7 linked regions of the Bombyx mori genome follow. The main gene of each other region encodes a partner of the protein of the gene in region 6 in a complex. Links are inferred from orthologs where the notes say so. Each region holds a gene or a part of one and is shown on either strand. Other genes may lie near its edges. The genes, in order: mediator of RNA polymerase II transcription subunit 20, mediator of RNA polymerase II transcription subunit 31, mediator of RNA polymerase II transcription subunit 19, mediator of RNA polymerase II transcription subunit 25, mediator of RNA polymerase II transcription subunit 4, mediator of RNA polymerase II transcription subunit 23 and mediator of RNA polymerase II transcription subunit 8.

Region 1 (4,373 bases), on a different chromosome or scaffold from region 6:
TATTAGTAATAGACAGGGGTGCCTATCTGAGATCGATTAATCGAATCTGAATCGATTCACTGCATCGATATTTGACCCTTGAATATCGATGTTGATTTTTTCGGTTTTGGTAAAAACCAGTAATTTATTTACAATTAGCCTGTTATCAAGCAATAAATAGAATAAATACTTCAATTTTAGATAGTAAATCACAAGAACAACTTCCACAAAATAATAGTGAAGAAGTCGACGGAATCGAACTGATACGGAAGAAGTAATTTGGGATTTTCATAAATTGCTGATGAAAAAGCAACTTTTTACATTTATTGCACTGAGAAATGAAGGCTTAGACGAAGAAATTGAACACTATTTATTTGCAGGCAGTTGTGTACCTGAAGTATGACCACATACTTCACTGGCAAGAAAAGAAGAAAAAAAACCATCTAACACTACGTCCACTCAATAGCCATGTTTTTCTTTTATGAATGAGGGATCACTGGTGGGCCAGAGGCCTTTCCAGTTTCACCAGGACATGTGGGCGAGCAAAGGCTCATCCAGGAGAAGTGGGATGTGCTAACAGAGCCATGATGTATATGAGTATTGAGGCATCATCTTTACCTTGTGAGAGCGCTTCAATTGCCTGCAATAACGCAAGTGATGAGCGGAACCGCTTGGATCCCAATACACTTGACAGACTGTTTTTAAGAAGTTCGGATACTAGACGGTGGGAAAATCTACATTATCTATTAGAAATTATACCTAACTAGCGACCCGCCCTCGCTTCGCTTCGGAAACATTAAAACACACATGAAACCAAAAAAATAAAATAAAAAAAATTAAAAAAAATTAGCCTATGTTCATCAGGGACAATGTCGGCTTCTAATGGAAAAAGAATTTTTCAAATTGGTCCAGTAGTTTCGGAGTCTATTCGAAACAAACAAACAAACAAATCTTTCCTCTTTATAATATTAGTACCTAATGGGACAAGATTAAAGGCAATGATAACAGACAACACCATAGTTTTTGGATGAGATGAAATAAAAGAATCTCTAGTTAAAATAGTTAGAATTTGGTGAGAATTCAAAGATAATTTTAAAAGAACCCGAGAAACTACTAACAGTATCGACTGAGTCCTTATCTTACATGTTGAGATATAGCACTAGCTGCGTGTCGCCGCACTAGTAATGTTGACTCGCTACCATGGATACATTCTCTACTTAATAAGATTGTGTCGTGTGAATAAAATATAACTGATGATAATAAAAAGAGTCTGCTTATTCTTTCATATAAAATCTTAACATGGTAGCAGACCGCGTGTGCAGTAAGTAAATAAAAATATATTGGGTTGCGATCCACTAGAAATAATATCGGCGAAAATTATAAAAAAGAAAGATGACAACTGCGAGGTCTCTTCTGCCGATTTTGACTGAAAATTCAAATTTTAGTCATTGGAAATTTAGATTGAAATTACTGCTGGAAGAAAAGTAATTAAGCAATGTATTCTTAAAAGAGAAACCGACGGATCAGGATGACTCACGAGCAAAATCAATTTTGGTACAATGTCTGAGCGACAAATATATTTACATCGTAAAAAATGCGAATACGACAAAAGAAATGCTAACGTCATTGGAGGCCATATTTGAACGAAAAACAGTCTGTAATAAATTTTATTTAAAACGGAAACTCATAACAATGTGCTATGATGATGAAAGCAACTTACAGCAATTTTTCCTAAAATTTGAAGGAATTCTTAGCGAATTAGCGGCAATCAACGTAAGCGTCGAAGTAGAAGACCAAATTTGCTATCTGCTGTCTTCTTTACCAAAGATATACGATCAATTAATTACATCAATTGAGACTATGGGTTCCGAGAAACAACTGAACATAGAATTTGTTAAAGCAAGACTACTCGATATGGAGACAAAGTTAAAAATGGACAGAAATAGTGAAGGTTATGAGAATAATGCCTTCATCACGTGCCACTCCTGCGGAAAACGTGGACACAAATCATTCGAATGCCGATCAGGACGAGGACAAGCGCCGAGTAGAGGACAGTCATTGACACGAGGACGGAGCTATCCAAGATCGTGTGGACGCTCATTTAGAGGAAATTCAAGTTCACGACATACAACGTATCAACATGCTTCAGCAGCAGGCACAGAAAATAAAGAAATAGGTTTCATTGCTAGCGATATTATTGCTAATGTGGGTGAATGTGGTAACATAGAACTAATTATAGACTCAGGATGTACGGAGCATTTAATAAATGAAAAATATGAAAATTATATGACGGATATTACGTATTTAGATAAACATGTCAAAATATTCGTAGCTAACGGCCAATGTATTACAACTAGTAAAAGAGGTAAACTTAAAGTAAAATATCAAAATACTACGATTAATATTGATGCTCTAATTGTGAAAGATGTTTCATACAATTTATTATCAGTAAAAAAGATTGTCGAGGCAGGTTTTAACATAAACTTTAATAAATACAATGTTAAAATATTTAATAAAAAGACATTTTTACGCGGCATCGTGCAAGGAAAGTTGTATAAGCTACAAGCCGAATTATGTAAGTCCGAAGTCTGTAATATTACTGATGCGACAGATCTATGGCACAAACGTTTAGGTCACTTAAATAGGAAAAGCCTTAATATACTAAACTTACCTGTATCTAATAGAATTTGCAGTCCTTGTATGGAGGGCAAAGCCACCCGAAGCCCGTTCACGCCTATCCCAAAGCCTAGAACAAAAATGACAGCCGAGATGCTTCACACAGACATAGCAGGACCGATCAGACATCAAGGACCTAATGGTGAAAAATATTTTATGAAAATTATTGACGATTTCTCTCATTTTTGCGTAGTGTATCCCCTGAAGAGCAAATCTGAAGCAACAGAACGACTGATGAACTATGTATTAAGAATTGAAAACGAAACGGGGAATAAAGTTAAAAGAATTAGATGCGATAATGGTGGAGAGTACACTGCTAACAGTTTGAAACTTTTTTGCATAAATAGAGGTATTAGTTTAGAATACACATTACCGTACACGCCACAACTTAATGGCATATCAGAACGAATGAACCGCACATTATGCGACAAAACGAGGACTCTATTAGCGGAAACCAATTTGCCAAAACATCTGTGGTGCGAAGCAATACAATGTGCAGTTTACCAATTAAACAGATCGCCATCATGGGCCATAAGCTTCAAGACACCCAGCGGAATATTTTTTGGTAAAAACGACATATCGAGATTGAGAGTATTTGGTTCCAAAGCTTGGGCTACTATAGTACCCAAACCGGACAAGTTTGCCAAGAGAGCAAAAGAAACAAGAATGGTAGGTTATGGAACTGTTGGTTACAGATTATGGGATCCAGAAGAAGATAAAATAGTTATTTCCAGAGATGTAAGATTTGATGAAAGCGACATTAAATTCAAAAACAAAGAAGAAGTGAAACAAGTTAGATATATTCAAGACAAAGAAGAAGAAATCAATAAAGAAAAGCAAGATATTGTAGAACAGGAAGATGAATTTAAAGATGCAGAAATGAACACTGATCAAATTGAAGAAGCAATAATCAGACCCAAAAGAACGATAAATCCTCCTGCTTATCTTAAAGATTACGAGACGAATATAGAAAACATAAATGAAACTAATATTGTTATATGTCTGAGTGCAAATGCACCAGAAACTTTCGAAGAAGCTATAAAAGAACCAGAATGGAAAAACGCAATCAATAAAGAACTAGATGCACTCCAAAGACTAGAAACGTGGGAAGAACAAGAAATAACCGATGGAAGAAAGCTCATTGATACAAAATGGATATTTAAACTAAAAGAAGATGGAACAAAAAAGGCAAGACTGGTAGCTAGAGGCTTCCAACAAAAGAAAAAAGATATTTTTGACAGCGTTTATGCACCCGTTGCTAGACATTCTACCATAAGAATGATCTTATCAAAAGCTGTACAAGATGATTTAAAGATTATTCAACTAGACATTCCCACTGCATTCCTAAATGGAAAATTGAAGTCTGATGTATTTATCAAAATACCCCAAGGATTAGAAATAAAAAATAATAATACAGCATTAAAACTAAAGAGAGCATTATATGGATTGATTGAATCACCAAAATGTTGGAATGAAACACTTGACGAATTTGCGAAAGCTAACGGATTCCAAAGATCAGAATATGATTACTGTTTGTATTACAAAGAAGATTGCTGGATGCTGATTTACGTGGACGATACCTAATCATTGGAAACGGGGAAGATATTATTAAAGCACTTAAGGAGGAGTTTAACGCAAAATATATGGGTGAAATGAAGAACTTTCTCGGAATGGAAGTTAAAAGAAATAAAGATACATTAGAACTGAAACAAACTAAA
Region 2 (4,298 bases), on a different chromosome or scaffold from region 6:
GTACCATGCGCAAACTTACCCCCACTACGTCAACAAATGCTCAAGAAGTTTGCCGGTTATTATACAAAGGATTTGTTTATGTTCAATCAAATAAAATTCGTTTTGAAAAACGTTCAGTGCCCATTTCAAGTAATTAAATATATTTTTTATGAGTAAGACTACGTATATTTTACTACTACACAGAACAAATATTTTAATATCAGCCAAATTATTTTTATAACATAACAAAGAGGTTTCATTAACACCCATTTAGATAATTTAGAGGGAGATCTTTGTCCCCCGGTGGGACATCCTACTAGAGGACATGCCCAATATTTTTTTAACATTATTATACACTACTATCTGTACCCGTCCGCTTCACTGGGCATTTAAAATTAACATTATTATTTCTCACCCCCACAAAGATTCACATCATTAACGCCCCCGCAACTGGTGTAGGGAGTCCAACACTCATATAATTAGCCTATCCATTATGTACATGTATTTTCTACATGGATAACAAGTTCAAGTCAATCGGATGCATGGTTCAGTAGTTATAACGGAACATCCATAAAAACCACTGTAGATTTATTTATTAAGTATAGATTTATAAAAAGTTTATTTTATTTTCCACTCACTTCTAAAACAACAATCATGAACATCCTAAGTTTGTTGTCTTGGTGGACCTTGTTGTGGCGGTGCGGGCGGCGCAGGAAGCGCCGGTGCGTCCGGCGGTTGTAACGTGCGTGTACGCCGACGAGTATAATGTTGCCATAGCAATATTGCTTGATCGTCCATGAATTTGCAAACCTTAAGGAAAATATTAATCATTCATTAATGAAGATATTTTGAACAGTACCTATCCATCAGAGTGATCTAAACACAGGCTTTATTTAAAAATTGTAATACATACAAATTATACTGCTATCGGATAAAATTAAAAGCGGTATTTGGTCAAGGGCCAGTTTGGCACAGTCATAAATTTTATATTTGGTAGAGTACAAGAATAAAGCACAGCTACTAATGAGGTGGTAAATAAAAGCCAATAAATTATAATAATATGACTTTTGCAGTAACTTGTACGTGGTCATTAACAATTACCAAATTTATATTCTTACATTCAAACTAGCTCAATTTCATTTGCATATTTTTTTTACTGTTGATTTGTAAGTCAAGCTCTGTTTTGGTTTTAAGCCCATAAACATCATACTGTGAAACCTATAAATCATAAAACTATATCAGAAAAAAAAAAGGCCAAGTAGTGTTAAGTTGTTACCTGAGCCCATAGACATGTACAAAGTAAATGCCTAAACAAAAAAAAATACAATGGCTGCCCCACCCATCAAACCGAAACACATTACTACTTCACTGTAGAAATAGGCAGGGTAGAGGTACCTACCCCTGCGGACTCACAAGACATCCTACAACCAGTAACTACACAAATTATAATTTCGCAAGTTTGATTCTTTTACTAGATGGTGTTATTCCTTAACTGTGGAAGTCAATAGTGAACATTTGTTTAGTATGTATCTCATTATAATAATTGGAACCTGCCTGCAGGATCTGAACACCTTTGTATCGCTTGATATGAATGCGTCAGGTCAGCCTGAGCGATAAGCCTTCAGGCCACAACAAACCTTCATATAAACACTACTTCAAAAACTGGACCAAGGTGGTCACGACCCTCAGCAATGAGGAAACGACAGAGAAGAAGAAGAAGAATGTTTATCAGCGGACTTAAAACCTATGGCATTATCTACCGCTCAAGCAAAGATTATATGGAAAATAATTTAGTAGGTGCAATTTGTACTCACTTGTGCCGATACACATTCTCTTCTAAATGCTTCATGTTGTAATAACTCCAAAAAATGCAAACACATGGGATACTTCAAATATCTAGCATATTCTGGCTCTCTCCAATATTGCAAATATTTAAGATAGTTTACAAAAGTTTGTTCTTTAAGATAACCTCGCTGTGCCAAAACTGTAAATAGACAGAGTTGACATAATTGACATCCATTACACATAACATTTAAAAACACTGGGCAGAAAAACATTTAATCACAAAATAGACGATTAGAAACTAAGTCACAATAACAAAATCATTAAACCGGTATGAAAAATACCTAACAATTTATTACTTATTTCCCTCTTGTGATGATTTGATGACCAACTTGATAGCTTCAGATCAGTCATCACATTAAGTTATCATTATAAGTTTCCATAAGTGTATGTATGCAGTGAGCAGCATTAGCCTGCATAAGTTCAAGTGGCAACATTTACATTATGATGTCTATGTACTCTAGTAATCATTGTATACCAGGTGAGTGTGAAGTCTAACAACAAAAACCAAAAAGGCAACTTACAGTGAATGTAATTTGGATTTGCTAAGCACTGCACAAATTCAAGTTCCACTTGAAATCTTATTCGATTCTGCTCTTCAGTTTCTGGCATTACTGCAATTAAATTAAAGATTATTAATTTATCATGAAATAACAAACTGTTAAATAAAATTATTTCATTCTTTCTTACCTTTTCCAGCCATCATTTTGAACCCGAAATATATGCAGCTGGAGTATTTAAATTATTCAAAATTAAACAAGTTGGTCAGTGGTGTACGTCTCAACAAATCTATGACCAAAATAATAACATATTTTCAGGTTACACAAGACAGTTCATTTTATCCTTATATAAATATGTGATATTTAAGATTTTATCATTACTAAAATGTTACACAGTACTTAGTAAGCTCTTAAAATTTTTAAATTAATTAAATCACATAAATAAATTTGTGTATATATTTTTTTCCGAGTCCTACACAACGTAACACAACTACACAATACTACATAGATTATACACTTAATATACATAGATTATACACTTAATATATACGAGCAATACTACACTACACATTAAGTTAGTCTATGACTATGATCATCATCCTACTTAGGCTTAATATTTGGCCTAAAGGTACTATACCTAAACTTTTTGGCGGGAACGCGATGAGTGAAGTTGTGTGATTTGTTTTATTTTGTCTATTTAATGTTTCTTCAAGTTTAAATGGGTTCCTCCAAAAAGTCCACTGAACAAACCACAGTAAATGATCACCATTTTACTGAGATTATATTTCATCCCATATTATCTCATTCCATTTAATTTCATCCCAGTTGATTAATTTCTCAAATTAATCATCTTCATTTCATTTCACTCCATATTATAATTTTTCATAAAAATAAGAATATAAATTAAAATAAAATATAACTTAAAGGTCTTAGTTAACAGGTCATAACATCCCTTAAAAAAAATCTGGTTTAAATGTTTAATAGAGCTGGTTTATTAACTGTTTAATATCTGTAAAAGTGCACAAATGTGGGAAAATAAAATATAGCCGCTGAACATAACTTCTCGGGATCCTCCAACAAGTCCACAGAAAAAGTCTCAATAAATAACCACCATTTTACTGAAATTATATTTCATTCCATATCATCTCATCTCATTTCATTTCATGCCATGTTTCGTATTAATCAGCTTCATTTATACTTAATATCATTATTATAATATTATTATATATATCAAATAGATATAATTATTCTTAAAAAATCCTGTTTATAGAGTATAAGTATATATACTAAGTTTATTCTTCTATATTAAATGAATTTCTACTAAATGTCCCTGCAATATATTTCTTGAACTTATAAATAATTATCATTTCAACAAAAACAGATTTTGTGTGCATTATATTTACATTTTTTGAACTAAGTATGAATTTAGGAATTATTAATTTTATTATAAAATACAAGTATCTTAACTATCTCCTATTGCATGGTAATGAATAGTATCATTAAAAATAACTGAACTGAAAACCACGCTAATTGTACTTTAACGACTAATTGACCGTCTTCACTCTTCACCGACATTTTTTTGTTGAATTATTGTTGAAGTTTTCAATATTTTTTTGATCCACTTATGAAATAATTAGACAGTATAAACCATAGATTATACACTTAATATATGTATAAACCATGGAGTTAATAAGTAGTAACTCTATGGTATAAACGCAGTTCTTCTTCTTCTTCTTTATTTTTGGCTCTGGCACGTTTTGTGCATTAGCCAGCGTCAAGTAATAACGTTTTTATAATTCGCCGTTTTATTTATTTACAGTTTATAAATAATAAAAAACGAAGGAAACTTATCGCAACAAAACATAAATGATTTAGAACGAATTGAATTTACAAAAAAAATCAGAATAATTATATAACAGGGAAAATAAATCAAAATTATAGTTTAATGTTATTATTTAATATAAACCTACTTAAAAT
Region 3 (4,176 bases), on a different chromosome or scaffold from region 6:
AAAATCTTATTAAATCTACCATGCAATCGAACCTGTTGAAAGCCAAGTAGAAGTTACTAGAAATCTTAAGTTCAGAATCAAAAGTAATTACTATGAAGTAAAGATAATAAATTAGCTATAAGTTTAAAACATTGCCTGACTAGCAATTTTAGGTATTTCATAAAAACAAAAGTCTTGCAAACCTCATTTTTCTTATTATGGTTTAAAATGTGATAAAAAACTTCGTTTTTTCTTCATTTTATGGACATATACACCCCATTGAATAATGAAGAAATATAGATTCAGATAAATCTACTCTTTTTTTTATTTTATTGCTTAGATGGGTGGATGTAACATAAATGCAATGGTCTCAAGTATAGTTACAACAGCTGCCCCATTCTTCAAACCGAAACTTATTACTTCGGCAGAAATAGGCGGGCTGGTAGTAGCTACTCATGCGGACTCACAAGAGGTCCTACCACCAGTAATGACGCAAATTATAATTTTGCAGGTTTGACTTTTATTACAATGTTATTCCTTCACTGTGGATGTCAATCGTGAACATTTGTCAAGTATGTATTTCATTAAAAGAATTGGTACTTGCCTGGGATTCGAACACCAGTGCATCGCTTAACACGAATGCACCAGACGTCTTATCCTTTAGGCCACAACCAATTGTATGTTATTCTTCTTGTGTTATTATACCATTCAACCAATTGAGGAAAACTTTCCACTTTAATGAAATGTTAACAACATTCCATCGTATTACAATCAACTTATGATAGATAGCACGTGTAGTTTCAACAAATGAGTGCCGTTCATACATTTAGTCATATGCACAACAAAGTGTAGAGGTACATTTCACTAGTAATGGAATATCACTAGAACACAATGAATTACTAATTTTTAGTCATCTTTAGTACAATACTCTCTTTGGGCTCATTATTCGACTTAAACCTACTTGTACACTTATATTTACGGTAATGGATGTTGGTTTGGTGTAAGGCCTCCATGCTCAGGGCTGTGTTTTTGCTTTTTTCTCTTTTTCTCTTTTTTTCTCTTCTTTCGTTCTTTCTCATCGTCATGACGTTTTTGCTTCTTATGCTTTTTCTCATATGTGTCTGGATTTGATGAATCTAGAATAATAGATATGTTTTATATTAAAACTCAAGACAAAAATGGAGTATAAATAATATAACTTATAAAGCAATTTAAAAAGTATCACTTGACATCTAAAGTTAAATGAAATCATTGTGGCCTAAAGAATAAGACGCCTGGTGCATTCATATTGAGTGATGCGACTGTGTTAGTGTTGGAATCCCGCAGATAAGTACCATTTTTCCTTATGAAATATGTACTTGACAAATGTTCACAATTGACTTCCACAGTGAAGGACAGTGTTGTAAACAGACTCACTAAAAATAATTGATAGGGTGTCTTCTGAGCCCGCACGGGTTAGTACCACAAAATGTAAAATGCAGAGTACAATTACACTGCAATTCAAATACTGTCTTAACTAGATTAATGTAGTCAAAGTGCCTGGAAGACTCACCTAGACCTAAATAGCATCTACAGGTGGCTAATTTGTAATATTGTCTACAAGCTTGGGACATAGCTAAATCTATTAAATCAATGTTGTTGAGTTCTGAGTTCTTACCTTGTAAAGGTGTCTCTTGCCCAGGAGGTGCACCATCTTTATGCTTATGTTTCTTATGTTTGCTTTTATGTCGCTTTGGTGGTGTTGCACTCACATATCTGTACTGCTCAGGAAGTGGGCCAGGGTGTAATCGAAAACCTGCCAACTGAGCACTAGTTAATGGCAGTAATTCTTTACCACCAATTGGTCTCTTAGCTATAACTGAACTTAGAGTACTGTTATCGTCCTGCCCAGGTCCGTCAACGATGCCCGGCAGGTTCGGAAGGAAAGATGATAGGGATTCCTTCAGCTTTTTGCCATTAAACTTACTGTAAGAATGTACAAGTCCATAGTAGGCCATTAAATTTGTAGCGCCTGTCAGTTCACATTCTCCTGTAAAAGAAATCGTCGAAGTCACTTCCTGAATATAATTATTTAAGAATTTGAGAAGAGAATGTTAAAGAGTTGGAGATACTGACCCGGGGGTTCTTTCATCAAATAGAATGGTCCGCTGTGCACTATAGACGGGTTTTTGCCTAAGGATATAGTAGTTTTGAGTGTACCAGAAGAATCTTGGCGAGAGACGACTGGTGACCTCGCACCCCTCGGCGACGATTTTGGCGAATATGGTTCTACTTTCCTAAACTGATCAGACATCATCTTGGATGACCATTATCTACGAAACGAACTTAAATAAATTAAATACTCTAAACAAAATCACAAAAAATTAAAAAGACCTTCCCTACTCCCAAGCTTTTGACAACTCTAAAAAATAAAAGTAGGAACAATGTTGCAACACTTTTTTTTTAAGGGAACTGAGACCTTTAAGTCATGTCTTATTTTAATTTATATTCAATTTTTATGAAAAATAATATTATGGAGTGAAATAATGAAGACGACTAATTTGAGATATTAATCAACGGGATGAAATTAAATGAAATGAAATGGGATGAAATATAATCTCAGTAAAATGGTGGTCATTTACTAAGATTTTTTCAGTGGACTTTTTGGAGGATCCCGAGAAGTTACGTCCAGCGGCTTTGTTTCATTTTTCCACATTTGCGCACTTTCACAGATATTAAACACTTAATAAACCACCATTATTACACATTTAAACCCGAAGAAACACTAAATAGACAAAATAAAACAAATCACACAACTTCACTCCTCACGTTCCCGCCAAAAAGTCCTGTTGCAACACTAGCTTTGTAACTCCCACAGACTCTAATATTGTTATTTAAAGAAAATCATAACAATAGGTACATGGTTTTGTTGGTTCTCAAGAAATTTATATTTAAATTAAATACTAGCAATTCTCAAATTAAAATAGCAACTGTCTAATTAAAATAGACTTGTTTTGAATTAGTTGAAATAGTCTATTATAGTTCTGACACATAAGCACTTGGAGCTTCCGTGATAATTTTGTATGGAAAATGAATTGTGATGTCTATGAGCTTTGAAAACACTTTAAAACTGGTCCAATGGTGTTGGAGTTTGAATATGTAAGTAATGGCAGGTAACACTTGACACATGTAAGGTTACAGTTTTCGAATATTGAAATGCTTATTTAAATATTTAAAACAGATGAGTCTTCTCTTGAGTGAGGACAATGGCTTCTCTTCTAGACACGGACTATGCAACATCTTAGGGTTTTATAAAATAAAATATTGTAATGGTGTTATATATTAACCATGAAGCAGAGTGTTTTTAAATAGCCCCTCACCTACAGAACCCAGTCCTCTCAAATTTAACCGTCCAACAAAAGGTCTCGGTAACAGGTCATACAATCTTTAAAAAATCCACTAAACAAGAAAGCATGAGCTCATTCAAACTTTGAAGCAGTAAAAAAATCAAACATTCTTATTGAAACAAATGCTTAGGCTTTTTTTTTTGTTTAAGTCGTCCTGGCTTAAACTATAAGACGTCCGTAGGCTTAGTGCGAGTTTCAAAAATCGAATCGAATGACTCGCATCGAGTGTACGCTCTTCACGGTGAAACGTGCGGAGCTCTGAGTGCGAGTTACTTGATTTGCAGGACGTTTATTCATTTTGAAAAGCGATATTTTTTTCTTTTATATTGGTAGCACGCAAGGTTTTTTTTAAGGCGTTTAATTGAAATGCCAAGCTTTCTAACGATATTTATAATTAGTCGGGTAATGGGTAATGTACCTGTGCTTAGTGCAAGTTTTTTTAATTACTCAGTCGATGTTAATGTTATGTTTATTTTGTGTGAGGTTGTATCAGTGCCACCTAGTGGTAAGCTTATGAATCTCATTTTGTGGGAGAGAGAAGGTTTGTTTATGTTGCTGTCTCATGTATCAAATAGCTTTACCGAAGTGAGCCTCTCGATTATTGTATGTGCGAGTGCGAGTTGCAAATTAATGGATTTTGAGAGTATTTCTTCACTTTCAAGCAAGTTAAGTAGTCACTAAAATTTTTGCCGTGAAAGCAATATAATATCAAGATTTTTTCTTTCGTTTTTAATAATAATGTTGTTTTTGAAGGTTTTATCTATTCTAATGGTTTATACACATATATTTTTTCGGTTAGAAAATTTTATAG
Region 4 (3,596 bases), on a different chromosome or scaffold from region 6:
TGACCGTCGCCGGATGCTGCTTGTTGATTATCTGCTGCGTTATCTTCTGCTGTTGGATGACCTGGTCGAAAGATGGTTTTTATTGTTTTATTGCTTAGTTGGGTGGACGAGCTCACAGCCCACCTGGTGTTAAGTGGTTACTGGAGCCCATAGACAACTACAACGTAAATGCGCCACCCACCTTGAGATATGAGTTCAAGGTCTCAGTATTGCTGCCCCACCCTTCAAACCGAAACGCATTACTGCTTCACGGCAGAATTAGGCAGGGCGGTGGTACCTAACCGCGCGGACTCACAAGAGGTCCTACCACCAGTAAAAAATTCTACATTAATTTGCTGTAATTCTCCAAATTCATATTCTAAGCTTTTTTGTCAGACGCGATTACTAAATATTAACTTGGAACACGTGATCAAAATTTCAATTGTATTAGTACTTCTCAAGCAAAGTAATCAAAATATTCCGATATTGATTTTTGAAGTTATACTTCTTTAGGCGCTTTATGAAAAATTGATGAGAGTGAAATTTTACGATGCGCGCACCGTGACACAAAATTAACAGAATGAAGTTGCCCACTAAATCGCTCATTACAATACGACCGACGTAACTTGGCGAGCCTGAATATTTTTTATATGAATTTATACGATGTCAAGAAAAGGGATGTCCAATATGCGTGTTTGAGGATGTTGTTTAATCGATTTTTTTTCAAATTGATTAAAATTTAAATTAAAAAAAAAGAAATAAATTTACTAAAAATAAAGTGTAACTTCTTACGCGCGTACATAAGTACACGCACCCTTTTTTTTCCAGAATTTGCTTTCTACAAAAATACAATTTGAACTCCCACTTCAAATATAATGTTTGACGTTGATTATTCTTAAACATTTCATCAAGTGATATATAACACAGTAAAAATGCTTACACTTCTAAGTCTGTCGACGAACGCGACTTGGTTATTAGGAATGAATCCCAAATAAGCCTTTTTGTCGGGCGTGTACAATAACATTAGCACTTTTATGTCACATTGAGGCGGCGACGATATTGGATTGAAGTGTACGCAGCCAGCCTGAAACCAAAAACGTATTATTTAATTCCAATACGTGAAGCAAAAAAAGCATACACCGCTTAATACATACAAGAGTGTAGGACATACAGCAAACAAACACTCCACATACACACACACACACACACACCCTTATAACTATACATTTCCAGTGGACTAATTTTAATCATAAATATATTACTTAGTTGTGTTTATTTATAAATTGTAAGCTGTGTAGTTAAGGAAAGTAGTGTGCCATTTCCACTACAAATATCTATTACAGACTAGCTGACCACGCAGACTTCGCAGTACCCTTAATAGATAAATAAAAGACACATCAAGGGGACACATCAAAGGGAAAACAAAATTGTTTGCTTTTATAGAATTCCAAGTTTTTTTACCCTTCTCTGGACTTCCACGAATAATCCAAGACCAAAATTACCCAATTCGGTCCAGCCCTTCTCGAGTTTTAGCGAGACTAACGAACAGCAATTCATTTTTAAATATATAGATAGATAGAATATTCGTTTGGAAATAAAGCGGTCAGAGCGGTTAGAGCCCCGTGAGCTCACCTATTAGTTCTGTGAATCTAGTATAACCCCTCGAGGTAACTAGAATAGGTAGGAAAGTAAAAAAAACCTTTTTATTTATTTATGTTATGTGACTTTTTGACTCCCATTGGAACCAAAAAACACCATGACATGACTATTTAAGGGTAAACATTTTAAAGCCTTCGATCTGACATCAGCGTTTTATCAAATAAAACTACAACCTTAAAAGGTAGCAATAGTGGCAAGCGAAGTGGTTCATAACAATTAATAGTAGCTACATATTGGATTACATAAATTTCACAAAAATAACGCTTTCAATATCAAACAAATACTGTTTTACCCTGTCCAAATTAATTAAATTGTAAAGTTTATTTAGACGACCATCTACATACAGGCATGGAATACAACTTCTAAATCCCACTGATAGTACGTTAACTTTGCTTTGTTCTATATGAAAAAAAAAAAAAAACTATTTACTAAAGTAGAAAAAAAATTGTAATACTCACATACCCGTTGACCATAACGTTGGTTAAATGGTCGAGGGCTTCGCTCGGCTGAAGGTGGAACAGTACTGACTTGCTGTCCTTGAGATACTGTCCTCCGATGTTGCTGATCAATTGCTTCGGCATCAACTGCATTAAGAGCTTACTCGGCCACGTGTCCGCTTTCAATTCGGGTTCTATGTCTTTTGAAGTTGTCGATACCTATAGTATATCGTAAATCGTGTTAATTACGTCAATGATGAGTATAGATTTCACTGGTGGTAGGACCTCTTGTGAGTCTGCACGGGTAGGTACCACCACCCTGCCTATTTTTGCCGTGAAGCAGTAATGTGTTTCGGTTTGAATGGTGGGGCAGCCTTTGTAACTATACTGAGACCTTAGAACTTGTATCTCAAGGTGGGTGGCGCATTTACGTTGTAGTTGTCTATGGGCTCCAGTAACTACTTAACACCAGGTGGGCTGTGAGCTTGTCCACCCATCTAAGCAAAAAAAAGGATATTTGTACTGGTTTGCCTTACAATCCCGGGCTAGGCGCGTCCAGATCGTTATGTCTGAGCAGGCAATAGAATTGAACCCGGAACATTGCAACTCACTTGACAAGGTAGAAGTTTGGTTGTCTTCTGCTGATCTCCCGGCGCCTTACCCTTCTCCATGAGCTCGATGACGCCGCTCCAGATGTAGCTCCTCTGCAGCTGGGGTTGCTGCGTGTTGCTGGTCGAAGGAGTCGCCGCCATCATGCCCGGCATCCTCTGGTGAGGTGCACACTGCTAATTATAATGTAGATATGTGTCGTTCGCGAACGAATGAATCAAACCACCCGGGTCTCTCAAAATCCGCGCGAACGATAACGGGTTACTTCAAAAAATATTAGTCGTTCACTAAATCGACTCGTTTAACGAAACCTACGAATCAGAAGAAAAGAACTATATTCAAATTCAAATTCAAAATCATTTATTTCAACTTAGATGTCAGTATGACACACTTGTTGAATGTCAAAATACAAATAACAATGTTAACTCTACCACCGGTTCCAAAAAAAGCCACAGTCCTGAGAAGAACCGGCGAAACAAACTCAGCGGGCTTTTTTTTTTATTTTTTCTCAAATATTTTCTTTTTTTTAAATAAATAGAAATATTCACAATAAAAGAAAAAACAAGTCAAAAAAATACAATTAAAAATAATAATAATAATAATGAAAAATGAAAAGGCCAGGAGCAAGCGCCTCATTCCCACGTAGTGCCATCTAGTAAATAATCCTTAACTTTATAATATGCCTTGTTGCACAAACGTTCCTTAACAGTTTTCTTAAATCTATGAACAGGTAGTAGTTGAACGTTTAGTGGGATCTTGTTGTTATACGATAGTCATTCGGGTCGCCGCGTCTCGCTCCGCGCCCGTCTCGGTTAGTCGTTCGTTGTCGCCTAATGACGCATAACGCATTTGAATTGTTTTGATCTCACGTAAAAAATCGAACTATAGCAGTTCCTTTAAACTGTAATTCAA
Region 5 (4,320 bases), on a different chromosome or scaffold from region 6:
CCTACCCGCGCGGACTCACAAGAGGACCTTCCACCAGTAATAAAATAAATGTTAAAGTACTAAATCCTAGGGGCAATAGTATCCGGACTAAGTTGTCTTAAAGCTCCAAACACTTATACAACTCCTATGAGTAGTATTAGTTGTAATATATTCCGGTGCTATCGGGCCTCGTGATCGTTGATATATTTTACCTACCCATTCGTTGGTAGCCTAAGGGGCTATTCCAGGAACGCGCGGACGTGTATGAGTTCACTGGCTCCACCTGAGAGAGTTTGCCAACACTGGCCCTGGCAAGAGCAATGTTTCGTTAAAACCTACAGGATCAGAATCGCAACCCACTGAGAAGAACTGACGAGAAACTGTTTGGGTTATGTCAACAGGCTAGTTCGCACTTCCAACTCTTAATCGCAGAGTTCGCGTGCATAGATATCGAAAAATAAATTTGGAGGTTAAATTTTTGTTCAAATATAACAAAACGATTATGTGGAATAAATTTTTTTATTATGTCATTTCTATGAGGATATTTAAATAACATTTGAATTAATTCTACAAATATTTTTTTCATAATAAACACAAGCATCAGTCTTTTTAACTTGTTGAGTTGCACTACACTTTTAATCAAAATGAAGTCCACGGTTTTTCTGTATTCATTGTGAATCACTACTTGAACTTGAACTGGAGTCTGTGGACATAACTTCAACATCTTCTTGGTTGGGAGCATCCTTCCCTCGGCCATCAATAGCTACAGAGTTACCGCCTCCAACAGACATGTGTAGCTCGCCTGATGGATGCCAAGTGAATTGGCTTGAAGCTGAAGCTGGTACTGAAATAATATAACACAGTAAACCTGATTAACAAGCAAATGGTTTTACATGTTTTTTTTACCTAATGCAATTAACAAAAGGGTAAAATGTTTCTGTAAAATTCTGATGATAAGAATATTCTTAAATAATTTCCATGGGTTATGGGTTTTGAAGGAAGCCTCTGTTGACAATATTAATAAAAAGAGGTGGCAATAACATAGGAGATTTTTTTTATTCTTTACAAATCCTATAGAAATTTGATCATTAATTCAACTTTCCTGAAAAATATTATTCTTGTATATTTGAGTTTAATACAGTGGTCCAAAACATGATATATCTGCCAAAGCACTTGCTGAGTAGTTTAGGTGTTTGGTGTTCCCTATCACCCACTTCTCTCATAGCTATTAATAACTATGATAATACATGCTTATTGTAGATGAATCAAATTAACTATAACGATAAAGTACCAATACTAGAATTGTATAAATATGTACTGCACAAAGAGTTCTATACATATGCAACTTGTTCTAAGAATGATTCATTAATATAATGAGTAATGCATTTATACCTCCACCAGTTGTTATACGATGAAGTTCATTCAGTGTAGAAGGCGTGTGACCATTCAATGGCAGATCACAGAGGCGACCGAGCATTCCTAATCTCATTTCTAAATCAGTTGGATAAGGCCGACGAGGATCACCAGGTTGCCACGACAAAGGTGCGCTGACAGCATTAGATGCACTTATTCTGTAAAATATCAGTAAGTCAAAAAAAGTTTTTTTAAGTACTATTTAGTTCTCACATCAAAAATAGTGTACTGTCTAATATTTAAAAATTCTTTTTAATGTAATTTAATTAAAGTGTAACTCTATAGTTATGAAAGAAACTGTTTTCTGTAGATAGTTATTTTCATAACATTGTTGGCTATTCAGACACAATACCTAATATCCATTCAGACTTTTTGCATTAATAAACTTAATCAACTGTTAATATACTAAACATCTCATTGATTTATTTGTTAGTCAATGTGCCTACTATCATTGTCTCACTGTTGTCATTGGTCAGGTTTGAAATCTCTGTTGAGATCATAAATATTTAATATTCAATATTTAGGAGTACTCATCATGTGTTTTAAGGACCTGACTCAGAAAAAATATTTAATTTCAATGTAGAAATCTTTAATTGTTTACTAACCTGTGTGCAAATTTGATCAACTCCTCAGAGGGTACAGGTCTCTTTCTAGACTTCACTATTGATGCAAGTTTCTGTCGAGCTTGATACAGTGATGTAGCCAGAATTTGTTCTGCATCTTTCAATTGTCTTTGAAGGTGATATATATCTTGATCCTTAGTAACACAACAAAAACATTTCAATTACATAATTCGCTTGTGGCTTAAATTGTTGTGAACTAGCAGTGGATGAGTCAGTCCACTCCAAAATTTTATCCATTTTTTACTTAAAATAAATCTCTTTTGTAGTATTTACCTTACTATCTACTTCAGCTTTGAGTTCATTCATTTTCTGTTGGATCTTTGCTTGTTCGTCAGCTAGGTCTAATGTTTTTTTCAATTCTCCATGTTTTGATAGAAGTAGGTCCGTCAACTGAGCATGATCTGCAGCGGACACTTTCTGTGGTTTTGGTGCTATGGAAACTTCTATTATTTCCCTGAAAATTTAAAGAATTAGAACATGAAGTTGATCGGTAATGTTTTCCACAGTTCAATCGTGTTTTAACTCACTTAGCAATAAGTTCGATATCATCTATTAGTGCCAATAAGCGATCTTTAGTACTTAAATGTGACGCCATAGCTCTATATAGCTTAACAGCTTTTTTTAATATAAACGATATGTATTATTTCCTTATATCATATGAACTGGACAAACGACCCCCCAACGCTGCGACTCTTGGGATTTCTTGTATCAAAAACGCTACTATGTACGTGGTAACTACATTCAATGTTTACAGTAAAAATAATAACATTGTTTGATGTTTCCAATACAGCAGACGACAAACGTGAAAGTCATAGACTATGTTCCACAGCAAGCACAGACTAATAATTAGTAGAGCCTTGAAATATTTTTCTCTATGATATAGAGAAACTTATTCTCGTACTTTTACAGTTTTTCTAGTTTTAAAGTGAGTTTCAGTATAATTTATATCTACAAACTTTGTTTTATAAGGCCGTAGCCTATTTACGTTATAAGAAATAAAATAAAATTTACTACTGGTAACGAGATGAGATGATTTACTTTTTCTTATGAAGATGGGTGAATGACCTCAAGGCCTATTAGTAGTTACCGGAGCTTAAAGACATCACAAAGTGATTGCTGCCCCCAACTTTAACTTCACTTTTCTATTTTACACTATAAAGTGTGTTCCACCCTTTAAATCAGAATGCATGATTACTTGGCGGCAGAAATACACAGTACGCTGGTACCTACCCATGTAGAGTATTGTAGAGTCTAGTTATTATGATATGATCTCTCAGTAAAATCGTGTTTATTTCCTGAGACGTTAATTGAAAGACTCCGAAAAACCACATGTAGCGATTTCGTTTCATTTTTCTACCCGTTGTGCACTTTCATGAATTTGAACATCGTTTGGTCATCATTCATCGTTCTCGTTGAACCCATCGCTTGCGACGAAGGCTCGGCTAGTAAAATAACCCACAAATAAAGCCCACTGAATTTCTCGCCGGATCTTTTCAGTGGGTCGCGTTTCCGATCCCGTGGTAGATTCTGCAAAGTATTGCTCTTGCTAGGGTTAGTGTTAGCAACGTCGTCAGGTTAGATCCCCGTGAGCTCACCTACTTAATAAGTTACACTGACATAGCTCTCAAGCTTAGATAAAAAAAAACCATTTCACAGGTTCAGAATATTTGTCAGAAGAAATACAATATTGGTGTAATAAAAATATTCTCAAAATAAAGGACATCTGATTCCATCAAAATTATTGAAACACTGCACAAAAAAAATTATTCTATTAATTATTAGACTTGCGAATACTGAAAAAGGATTGAAAGATTGTGATATTGATTGTTATGGTTTATTTATAATTCGTAATTATTGGCGGTATAGCGTAGGTTGTAGATACGTATCTACGACCAAGCTTCCTATTATTGCCACCTACCAGTTATTCGTTTCGGTATAAAGGGCAAGATAATAGACAAAACAGTTGAGACTTCGAATCCTTAATTCAATCAAAATGGATGGTTACTTACACGCTGTGATGCTCATATTATATCTTCCGATAATCAGTCAATACGGAGTTAAAGAATGGTGTTGTTAGGATGTCTTGTGAGTCCGCACGGGTAGGTACCACCATCCTGCCTATTGCTACCGTGAAGCAGTAATGCGCTTCGGTTTGAAGGGTGTGGCTGACGTTATACTGTTAAAACTGAGACCTTCAAACTCATGTCTCAAGGTGGGTGGTGGCATTTACGTTGTACATATCTATAGACTCCGGTAACCACTTAACACCGAGTGGGGCGTAAAGCTCGTCCAACCATCTAAGCAA
Region 6 (4,209 bases):
GCCTCTAATCATCAGAAGCAGGAACATTAGAGGGGCTTGTATCTGAGATGGTAGTAGAACACATGTGTCCCAAATCACCAAGTCACATACAGCTGATATTGATCTTAAACCCCTTTTCCAATTTCATTATATGGAAGTGTCTTATTTTTTCCACTGTTATTCTATAAATTCACAACTCGAGTGATTATGTATGTTAATATGTAATGTAACATAATTAAAATATCTATAAAGGCTATTTTCACTAAGGACACAACAATGGAGAAATGAGCGCTTTAGTTACTGTAATTAATTTCCATTTGTCTCTTGAGCATATAGGAGAACTTTAATTGTTGCCAATCTCTAATAATGTAGGGGACACAGTATGGGAAGATATTATAATGCCCAGATGCAAATTTCTTAATCACACTTCTAAAATAATTGAAAATTGTTGGTAAATGAAAGGACCCAAAATTGACTTAAATTATGACCAGTAATTTTAATGTTTGAATTTGATAACAGTAAGAATGAAAATAGGTAATTTATTTATGTATTTATATAATCTATTTATGTGTTTGGTAAATTTATCTATTTATGTATTTATAATAGTTACTTAATACTGTTTGTAAAATATTGTTACATTTTTTATTGATTTACAGTTTTTATCAGTAAAAAGCTGCAAGTTTTGAGACAAGACAAGTACTGTTTAAATAAACGTGCAGATAACTGTAAACAATATATATAAAAATAAGTTAGATAATTTTTGTTACCAATTAAGGAAACAACAAATATATTTAAATTTTTTTACTGCTGAATTAAAATAATTGACCTTTTTAAATTTATGTTATTTCATGAAGGTTAACAAGGATGATCACTAATTTAGAATTGTTTACATTTTTCAGTACTTTTATGAAAACTGTATACAACACTTACATAACACAAACATATACATCAATTATAAGCACATAAAATATTTCAAGAACATCAGAGGTTTCAAGAATATACAAAATTTGCAAAAACGAAAATGTGTTCATAATGCAAATTATGCTTAAATATTAAATAAGACTAAAAATTCTAAACTGAGTAATTTAAAAAAGCTATTTTAATATTCTCATTCATTGTTTTTTTATTGTAAGAAGTTTGTAAAAGATTTTCAAACAGCATTTTAAATATTATTTCAATATACTGAATGTACTATTAATATGTTTTATTTAATATTGCTGCCAATTCACAGTTTGGTGTTCTGACACTGCAAATTTTATTTATCAATAGTTTTATACTTTAAGATGTCTTAGTTGATTAAAAAACAAGGTTTCTAGTTTAATCCCTTTACAAATTTTATCATTTGCTACAGTGCTATGTACAATTTACATTCTGTGATAAATCTAGCCCATCGGTCAAAGTTTAATTCAGAATAAAACAAATATTTGAGATATTAATTTATCTTAAAAACTGAAACAAATGCATAAGGTTAACTTGGCAACAGTAAAATAGAGTTGACAATTCCATAGTTTTAATGAAATTTGAAATATTCTGTTATTTTCATAACATAATTGCTTTTTTATTCATTTGATACTTAGTCCTTACGTTCCATGTTAGACTAAATTTATTACACATTGTAAACACGCTAGATGCTTTAAACCTAAACATAAATGAAGCAATCAACCTTCACATCAAGCCAGCTACATACAATAAGCACGTGGACACAAATATTAATAAACGCAGAACAGTACATATTCAGCGCGTAATGAATGAGATGAAATTAATTTTTATTCATAAAACCTCTGATCTCGAAGTACAACTTACCATCAGCTCATGAGTCCATGTTTGCAACTAAGAAACAAGTTCGATTATTTGTAGGTTTTATTCATGAAAAACAAACAATAGTAAACAACATTTTGTTCATAATTAATGTAGATGATCATGTGAGTAATTTTTTTGTCAGTACCTATTATTTTCACAGATGCAGGGCACAGTAGAACGTTTACCTTTATATTTACCAATATATTATTAACCAAGAAAAATATATTTACCAATATTTCATTCACTATGTTGGCGACTTGCGAATCGGCCATTTCCGTGATTATATTTTCCTCGAACATGCGCTTGGATTGACGGTCACCTTTATACAAAAAACTAGCTAAGCACTGGAGCATCCAAACTACGCTTTCAACAAAACACCGAAAGGTTACAAAGTTATCGGTACATGTCTTTCAGAATAATAATTATGTATAAGATCTTTGACGGAAGAAGTTAACTCAAGAAAGAAATTTTAATTACAAATGCAGCTGTTAGGAATTATGTTCTTCTTAAATTTACATGCCAACGTTAACAAGTAAAAACTGGGATACTTAAACCATCACTACGCGAAATTTAATAAATGACTAAATGCATTGAATAATCTATGCTAAATGTGGACACTGGACAATAAAGGACTTTTTGGCGGGAACGCGAGGAGTGAAGTTGTGTGATTTGTTTTATTTTGTCTATTTAGTGTTTCTTCAGGTTTAAATGTGTAATAACGGTGGTTTATTAACTGTTTAATATCTGTGAAAGTGCACAAATGTGGGAAAATGAAACAAAGCTGCTGGACGTAACTTCTCGGGTTCCTCCAAAAAGTCCACTGAAAAAATCTCAGTAAATGACCACCATTTTACTGCGATTATATTTCATCCCATATCATCTCATTTCATTTAATTTCATCCCAGTTGATTAATGTTTCAAATTAATCATCTTCATTTCATTTCACTCCATATTATCATTTTTCATAAAATTAAGAATATAAGACATGACTTAAAGGTCTTAGTTACCAGGTCATAAAATCTCTTAAAAAAAAAAAAAATGGACAATAAAGTTTGAAATGGACTTTTTGGCGGGAACGCGAGGAGTGAAGTTGTGTCATTTGTTTTATTTTGTCTATTTAGTGTTTCTTCGGGTTTAAATATGTAATAATGGTGGTTTATTAACTGTTTAATATCTATGAAAGTGCACAAATGTGGGAAAATGAAACAAAGCCGCTGGACGTTACTTCTTGGGATCATCTAAAAAGTCCACTGAAAAAATCTCAGTAAATTAGCACCATTTTACTGAGATTATATTTCATCCCATATCATCTCATCTCACTTCATTTGATTTCATCCAAGTTGATTCATGTCTCAAACAAATAATCTTCATTTCATTTCATTATTTTTCATAAAAATAAGAATTCAAAAAAAAAATTAAAATAAGACATGACTTAAAAGTCTTAGTCACCGGGTCATAAAATCCCTTAAAAAAAAGTTTGAACTTTACTCTTTGTATAAAATAATTCCCGGTTTACACTATTCCAGTCCAGTGATCGAATCCAGCACTGGATTGCTTACTGGAAAAATGTAAACTGGCACTGGATGCACTGAATCCAGTTAGCATTCCAGTCCAGTAACTGGATTGGCGGTCTACTTTTGAATTCAGTGCGACCAATCCAGTGCACCTGGATCCAGTGCCATTCCAGTGCTGACACAGTAAGCACGTGTTGGTTGTTTTTGCGGATTACTGGGGCGAATAAATTACTTAAAAATGGTGAAGAAATTATCTGACGATCAAATTTTAAAGCTTCTTATGTTATACGGAGAAAATCCTTGTTTATAGCACATATCATCAGAAGATTATTTAATAAATATATTACACATGTGTCGGTGCAACGTCACTATTTAGTTGACTTAAATAGTTTTCTTTTTCTTTCTTTCTGGCTTTTGTTACTTAGATTTAAATACAACTTTGCCAACGTCGGGTAGTGGAGGTATCAACATAATTTGTTAAGATTTTATGTGGAAGAATAAGCAGACTCGGTTTTTTAATATCACAAATTATATTTTATTCACATGACACAATCTTATTAAGTAGAGAATGTATCCATGGTAACAAGTCAACATTACTAGTGCGGCGACACGCAGCTAGTGCTATATCTCAACATAATTATGCTAAGACCTATTTAGTTTAATTTTTTTTGCATTAAACAGTTAGTAGGAACTACAATTTTATACTATTAGCGTTTATGAAAGATCCAAGCAAGTAGACTACCGTTTTAGTGGGGAAAGTTAATAGGAAGTTCATGTTGATGGGGAGGGGGATTATGTTTGTTGATAAAGTATATAGAGGATCACACTTATTGTTAAGGATACAGTTGAAGGATATATGATCCACAGTACCTTCCTCGGATTCACAGTTGCATATTGCTGTATTTCTTAGTTTGAA
Region 7 (4,183 bases), on a different chromosome or scaffold from region 6:
CATGATTTTTAAACTAAGCTTTAAAAAAAAACTAATATGAAATGAAAAATACATATAAACATACATAAAACAATAACTTAAATACACTTTTTTAAAGTGACAGGAAATGTTTCTTCATTTGACTCTTAGAAACTTCTAGAGAGGAACTAGCACAAATAGGTTGAGGGAGAGAATTCCATAATCGCACTGCTTGTATTGTGAAATTGCATTATCATCATACTTGTTTAAGTGGTGGGCAAAATCTTGGGCATCTCTGGTGGGCATCTTTCATCTTTGTCAAAGTAAAGTCATACCTACCTTATATGAACTAATAACTTAGGATATGTGTACAATGGTCAGAATAATCCCACCTGTCTTTTCTGTAGATATTCACCAATGACTGGGGTCTAGAACTGTGAGTAGCTGAGTGTATCCTGAGTCACTGACGTGTATAAGTATTTTTGTTATGAAGAAAACAGGCATGCCAGTTTGAATTATAAGATGCCTGCCTGCCATACAACTGAGACTTCGGGCATGTGTTTTGGGTCAGGTGAAATAAGATAAGCATGTGTGTCTAAATTTTATTGAAGACAAATTGTTTTTCACTACAGTGACCCGCATCTTTTTTCAACCTCTAGAAGTTAAAAATGGACTACATAATATGAATGAAATGTTTATTAAAATCTGTCAACTGTTTAGGTAATTATGATAATTTTCTATTGTAACTTTTACTAACCTGTAGATCTCATTGACTCTCCTTCCCAGTCTTCGCGGCCTTTGGATATAATTTCCCAAACGTGACTGACAACTTTAGTGAATTGAGCAATGTGTTTCTGGAATATAAAACTATTATAATCCATACATCATCCATCTATATAATTGTAGGTAACAACTACACAACATTACATGAGAAAGTGAGCTTGTTATAATTGCATGTCTTAAGTACTCAACTTGATTATCATGCTAATTTTGCAGACAAATCTTGATTATATAAAAGAACTTATTATACATAGTTTAATAGAATTCAATGATGATATGATTGCAATGATACTGAATGATGACCATGACCACCCTGACAAGTGATACAACAAAAAAAAGAAAGAATTGATACATACTTCAACCAAATATCTCAAAGCAAGAGGTTGATTTAACTCTGTGATATCTATGGGTCCCAGCCACTATATCTCAAGTGAGCTGTGGGTTTATTCACTCAACAGTGCATTACATGTTTTAACCCCAAATATATCTATTTTTTTACCGTTTACAATGAAAACTAATTTAGATTGCGAAGTCTACAAAGAATGTCATAAAAAATTAGCCCAAATAGTTATAATGGATATTTTTCCTTGTGGTACATTAAACCTTATGCTTCTTTAAATGTTTCTGATATTTAAAATTAAATGTTAATTATTGTCTATACCTGTGCTGTATCATAGCTTAAAGTACTAGCTTTATGATTAAATTGCTGGAGACGCTGTTCAGCCTGGGGTTCAGGTTTGGTACGAAGTAAATCTGGAACTAAATCATGAGTGCAAGCTGGAACTCTGCCTTCTGTCAAATGAGCCAGTGTTTCATCACGTTCGCAACTTAATTGAAGTGGTAAAACAATTCTAGACCGCAATGAAGCTGCTTGTTCGGCTTGGAGAATTTTACTGAGGCCAGTCAGCTGAAAATAAAGAGTTAATAAAATTTAACTAAATAACACATGATCTTTAAAGTGAAAAGCTTATGTACAAATGCACTTAAATCTGAAAACAAGTCTCAAAATGGGATAATACCTAATAAATATCAGTGACCACGCTAACCAGGTTACATCAAGTGAGTTTTGAACTCGTCAGTTTTTGTTTCACTGTTTTTTCAATAATAAATTAATTATCTTTCCTACTTCAAGTTGAAATCCATCTCTGTAGACTTGTTGACTATTACACACACTATTTATGCTATGAATTTCAATATACAATTGGACTTACGTGACCAGATAAAATCGCGTAATTATCTAGAAAAGTTGGCCAATTTATTGTCTCGTATTCCGTTTCTAGTTTATTTATCAATGCTTGTATTGCAGTTTTTAAATCATTTACTCTATTTAAAATCGCAACTATTGTAGCTTCTAGTTGCTTTTCTTCTCGCTGCTGCATATTCATTGTTGTAAATGGTAGGTACACAATTGTAACTTTTTAATTCTCTTTGTTAGATTTTAATAAGGTTTAGGTACCGTACCTTACCTAGCTATTAAATAACCGTAAGGGACTAAGGGTACATAAGTAATATATCTCAAAATGGTACCATACGGTACCTACCGTACCGTAAAATGGGGCGATTAGGGACAAATTCCAACTTTATGAGCAATTTTAAGGTAGTTGTTGATGTATATAATGCTAAATCAGGATCAAAATGATTGAGTCTTGGGGGCATCTTTGTTGTCTAATTTAAAATTATGCAACTAGCATTCCAGTTTAAGCAAAAAATGCAAAAATAGGTGTAATCCCTATTTACCCGAAAATTGCGGTTAATTGGGACGAAACGAGAAATTTGCTAGGGTTGGCACTACTTTTATTTTTATATATAGTTTTAATTTATTTATTTATTTAGTTGCACCAACAAAGTGATCATCAATAAAAAAAATTGAAAAACTGACAAAAGTACATGGCAGACATCACCTCAATTATAGGTGCAATCGACAGTGCTGATATTTCTATCTGGATTAAGAGATTAGGTGTGTCGGTTATTCCATGGATTAATCAGATGAATACCCCCACTCTGAACAAATATTAAATATGTAGCAAACCGACCGGTACGTCACTCTCGCGGCCGTATGCCCGCTCGCTATACATAGTTAGTATCTATGTCAATCTTGTAACAGTGTATAATCTATGTTCCGGGCGCTTCCGTTTTGAGTGTGAATAGCGTGCGCCCGCGTCTAAATGTAATTATTGTTTAAAAATTGAAAATTGTTTGTTATAAAGGAAGATTAAAATTCGAAATTCGATATTGGTGACTAACCCATAGTTTTAAATACCCCTGAGATCTACCCCTCACTATATCTGGCTGCCCAACGTTTCCTAATTTTTTTCTTGCTTGGACTAACAAAATGGCGCGCACGCTTTTGTGAAAAATTTGCTAACTATTGTATGCTGTTGGTGCTTAATTGTAAAGAATGCCTTTAACTAGAAGTCAAGATCGCCAGCAACGTCGCGAAGACGACGTTATTCCTGCTGCAGATGCAAATGCCAACGAAAATCACGAGGAGCATGATAGCCCCCATGATCGCCCCCACGCCGAATCACGTAGCAACAATTCTACGTTCAACTTGGATGATGTTTCAGCGTTGATGGCCTCGCTGCAACGTTCGCAGGCCGAAACATTTAAGAACATTATGTCGTACGTGATGGAACAAAGATCGTCGACTCCGGCACCTCCGCCGATGCCCCCAGTGAACGTAGATGGTACCTTGGCGCGTTGCAGAGCTTCTTTCAGCGGTGCACCTGGTGAATCTGTTGAGGCCTTTATAGATGCAATTGAAAGTTATACAGAATGCGTTCAAGTATCTGACGCTAACATCATACGAGGCCTAGCCATGCTTTTGTCTGCTGACGCAGCTACGTGGTGGCTAGGATTAAAGCATCACATCTCCACTTGGAACGAAGCCAAAGAAAATTTAATATATGCATATGGCACCCGCCTTCCACCACATAGAATATATTTGGAAATATTTGTTTCCCCGCAGGATAAAGAAAACACAGACAAGTTTGTTGCTCGTATTCGTGCGCTTATGGCAAAGCTACCGCGGGATGATATTGCTGAAAAAGTACAACTTGATATGATATACGGGTTGCTTCATAATAGAATACGCACAAGATTGCGCCGTGAAGAAATCACATCTTTCAATTCATTATTAAACCATGCTCGGAATATAGAAGATTCGATAGAGGAGACTCAATCGAGACCAGTGTCGTCCACTAGTGGTGTGCGTTCGATCCGTGCCCAGCCGGCCCAGGCTGCGAGTCGGCCTGAACCGTGCGCCGCTCGTGCGAGTGCCCCGGCGCCGCGCGCGCGCTTTCCAAACTCCGCCGCGGCCGTCGTGCCCGCCACCGCTGTGCCTGTCGCTGTCGCCCAGCCTACCGTTGCCACGCCTGCCGCTGCTGTGCCAGGTTCTGCAGAGCAATTCGTGACCACGAAGAAACAGCGTCCAGTGTGCTCCTAC

The links.
Region 1: mediator of RNA polymerase II transcription subunit 23 (region 6) and mediator of RNA polymerase II transcription subunit 20 share a complex: the UniProt entries of both Homo sapiens proteins name them as parts of the mediator complex. The link is inferred for Bombyx mori from reciprocal best matches to the Homo sapiens genes MED23 and MED20.
Region 2: mediator of RNA polymerase II transcription subunit 23 (region 6) and mediator of RNA polymerase II transcription subunit 31 share a complex: the UniProt entries of both Homo sapiens proteins name them as parts of the mediator complex. The link is inferred for Bombyx mori from reciprocal best matches to the Homo sapiens genes MED23 and MED31.
Region 3: mediator of RNA polymerase II transcription subunit 23 (region 6) and mediator of RNA polymerase II transcription subunit 19 share a complex: the UniProt entries of both Homo sapiens proteins name them as parts of the mediator complex. The link is inferred for Bombyx mori from reciprocal best matches to the Homo sapiens genes MED23 and MED19.
Region 4: mediator of RNA polymerase II transcription subunit 23 (region 6) and mediator of RNA polymerase II transcription subunit 25 share a complex: the UniProt entries of both Homo sapiens proteins name them as parts of the mediator complex. The link is inferred for Bombyx mori from reciprocal best matches to the Homo sapiens genes MED23 and MED25.
Region 5: mediator of RNA polymerase II transcription subunit 23 (region 6) and mediator of RNA polymerase II transcription subunit 4 share a complex: the UniProt entries of both Homo sapiens proteins name them as parts of the mediator complex. The link is inferred for Bombyx mori from reciprocal best matches to the Homo sapiens genes MED23 and MED4.
Region 7: mediator of RNA polymerase II transcription subunit 23 (region 6) and mediator of RNA polymerase II transcription subunit 8 share a complex: the UniProt entries of both Homo sapiens proteins name them as parts of the mediator complex. The link is inferred for Bombyx mori from reciprocal best matches to the Homo sapiens genes MED23 and MED8.

Annotation. Positions count from the first base shown.
Region 1 is NC_085134.1:1,812,621-1,816,993, forward strand, and holds the start of mediator of RNA polymerase II transcription subunit 20, read right to left. Parts: upstream 2,821-4,373; 5' UTR 2,785-2,820; coding exon 2,651-2,784; intron 54-2,650; exon of another isoform or gene 1-53. UniProt on the Homo sapiens protein: Component of the Mediator complex, a coactivator involved in the regulated transcription of nearly all RNA polymerase II-dependent genes.
Region 2 is NC_085122.1:5,746,455-5,750,752, forward strand, and holds the start of mediator of RNA polymerase II transcription subunit 31, read right to left. Parts: upstream 2,839-4,298; 5' UTR 2,528-2,838; coding exon 2,512-2,527; intron 2,436-2,511; coding exon 2,346-2,435; intron 1,964-2,345; coding exon 1,794-1,963; intron 790-1,793; coding exon 643-789; 3' UTR 618-642; exon of another isoform or gene 1-617. UniProt on the Homo sapiens protein: Component of the Mediator complex, a coactivator involved in the regulated transcription of nearly all RNA polymerase II-dependent genes.
Region 3 is NC_085116.1:16,053,134-16,057,309, forward strand, and holds the start of mediator of RNA polymerase II transcription subunit 19, read right to left. Parts: upstream 2,801-4,176; 5' UTR 2,276-2,800; coding exon 2,095-2,275; intron 2,009-2,094; coding exon 1,637-2,008; intron 1,116-1,636; coding exon 955-1,115; 3' UTR 1-954. UniProt on the Homo sapiens protein: Component of the Mediator complex, a coactivator involved in the regulated transcription of nearly all RNA polymerase II-dependent genes.
Region 4 is NC_085126.1:7,899,656-7,903,251, forward strand, and holds part of mediator of RNA polymerase II transcription subunit 25, read right to left. Parts: intron 2,861-3,596; coding exon 2,687-2,860; intron 2,295-2,686; coding exon 2,097-2,294; intron 1,064-2,096; coding exon 920-1,063; intron 62-919; coding exon 1-61. UniProt on the Homo sapiens protein: Component of the Mediator complex, a coactivator involved in the regulated transcription of nearly all RNA polymerase II-dependent genes.
Region 5 is NC_085112.1:8,189,517-8,193,836, forward strand, and holds mediator of RNA polymerase II transcription subunit 4, read right to left. Parts: upstream 2,867-4,320; 5' UTR 2,611-2,866; coding exon 2,543-2,610; intron 2,470-2,542; coding exon 2,289-2,469; intron 2,150-2,288; coding exon 1,998-2,149; intron 1,551-1,997; coding exon 1,372-1,550; intron 824-1,371; coding exon 648-823; 3' UTR 480-647; downstream 1-479. UniProt on the Homo sapiens protein: Component of the Mediator complex, a coactivator involved in the regulated transcription of nearly all RNA polymerase II-dependent genes.
Region 6 is NC_085107.1:8,842,389-8,846,597, forward strand, and holds the start of mediator of RNA polymerase II transcription subunit 23, read right to left. Parts: upstream 2,814-4,209; 5' UTR 2,133-2,813; coding exon 2,010-2,132; intron 1-2,009. UniProt on the Homo sapiens protein: Required for transcriptional activation subsequent to the assembly of the pre-initiation complex. Component of the Mediator complex, a coactivator involved in the regulated transcription of nearly all RNA polymerase II-dependent genes.
Region 7 is NC_085118.1:10,646,233-10,650,415, forward strand, and holds the start of mediator of RNA polymerase II transcription subunit 8, read right to left. Parts: upstream 2,825-4,183; 5' UTR 2,124-2,824; coding exon 1,950-2,123; intron 1,646-1,949; coding exon 1,400-1,645; intron 813-1,399; coding exon 716-812; intron 1-715. Other genes in the region: uncharacterized protein LOC134199859, read left to right, coding at 3,137-4,183. UniProt on the Homo sapiens protein: Component of the Mediator complex, a coactivator involved in the regulated transcription of nearly all RNA polymerase II-dependent genes.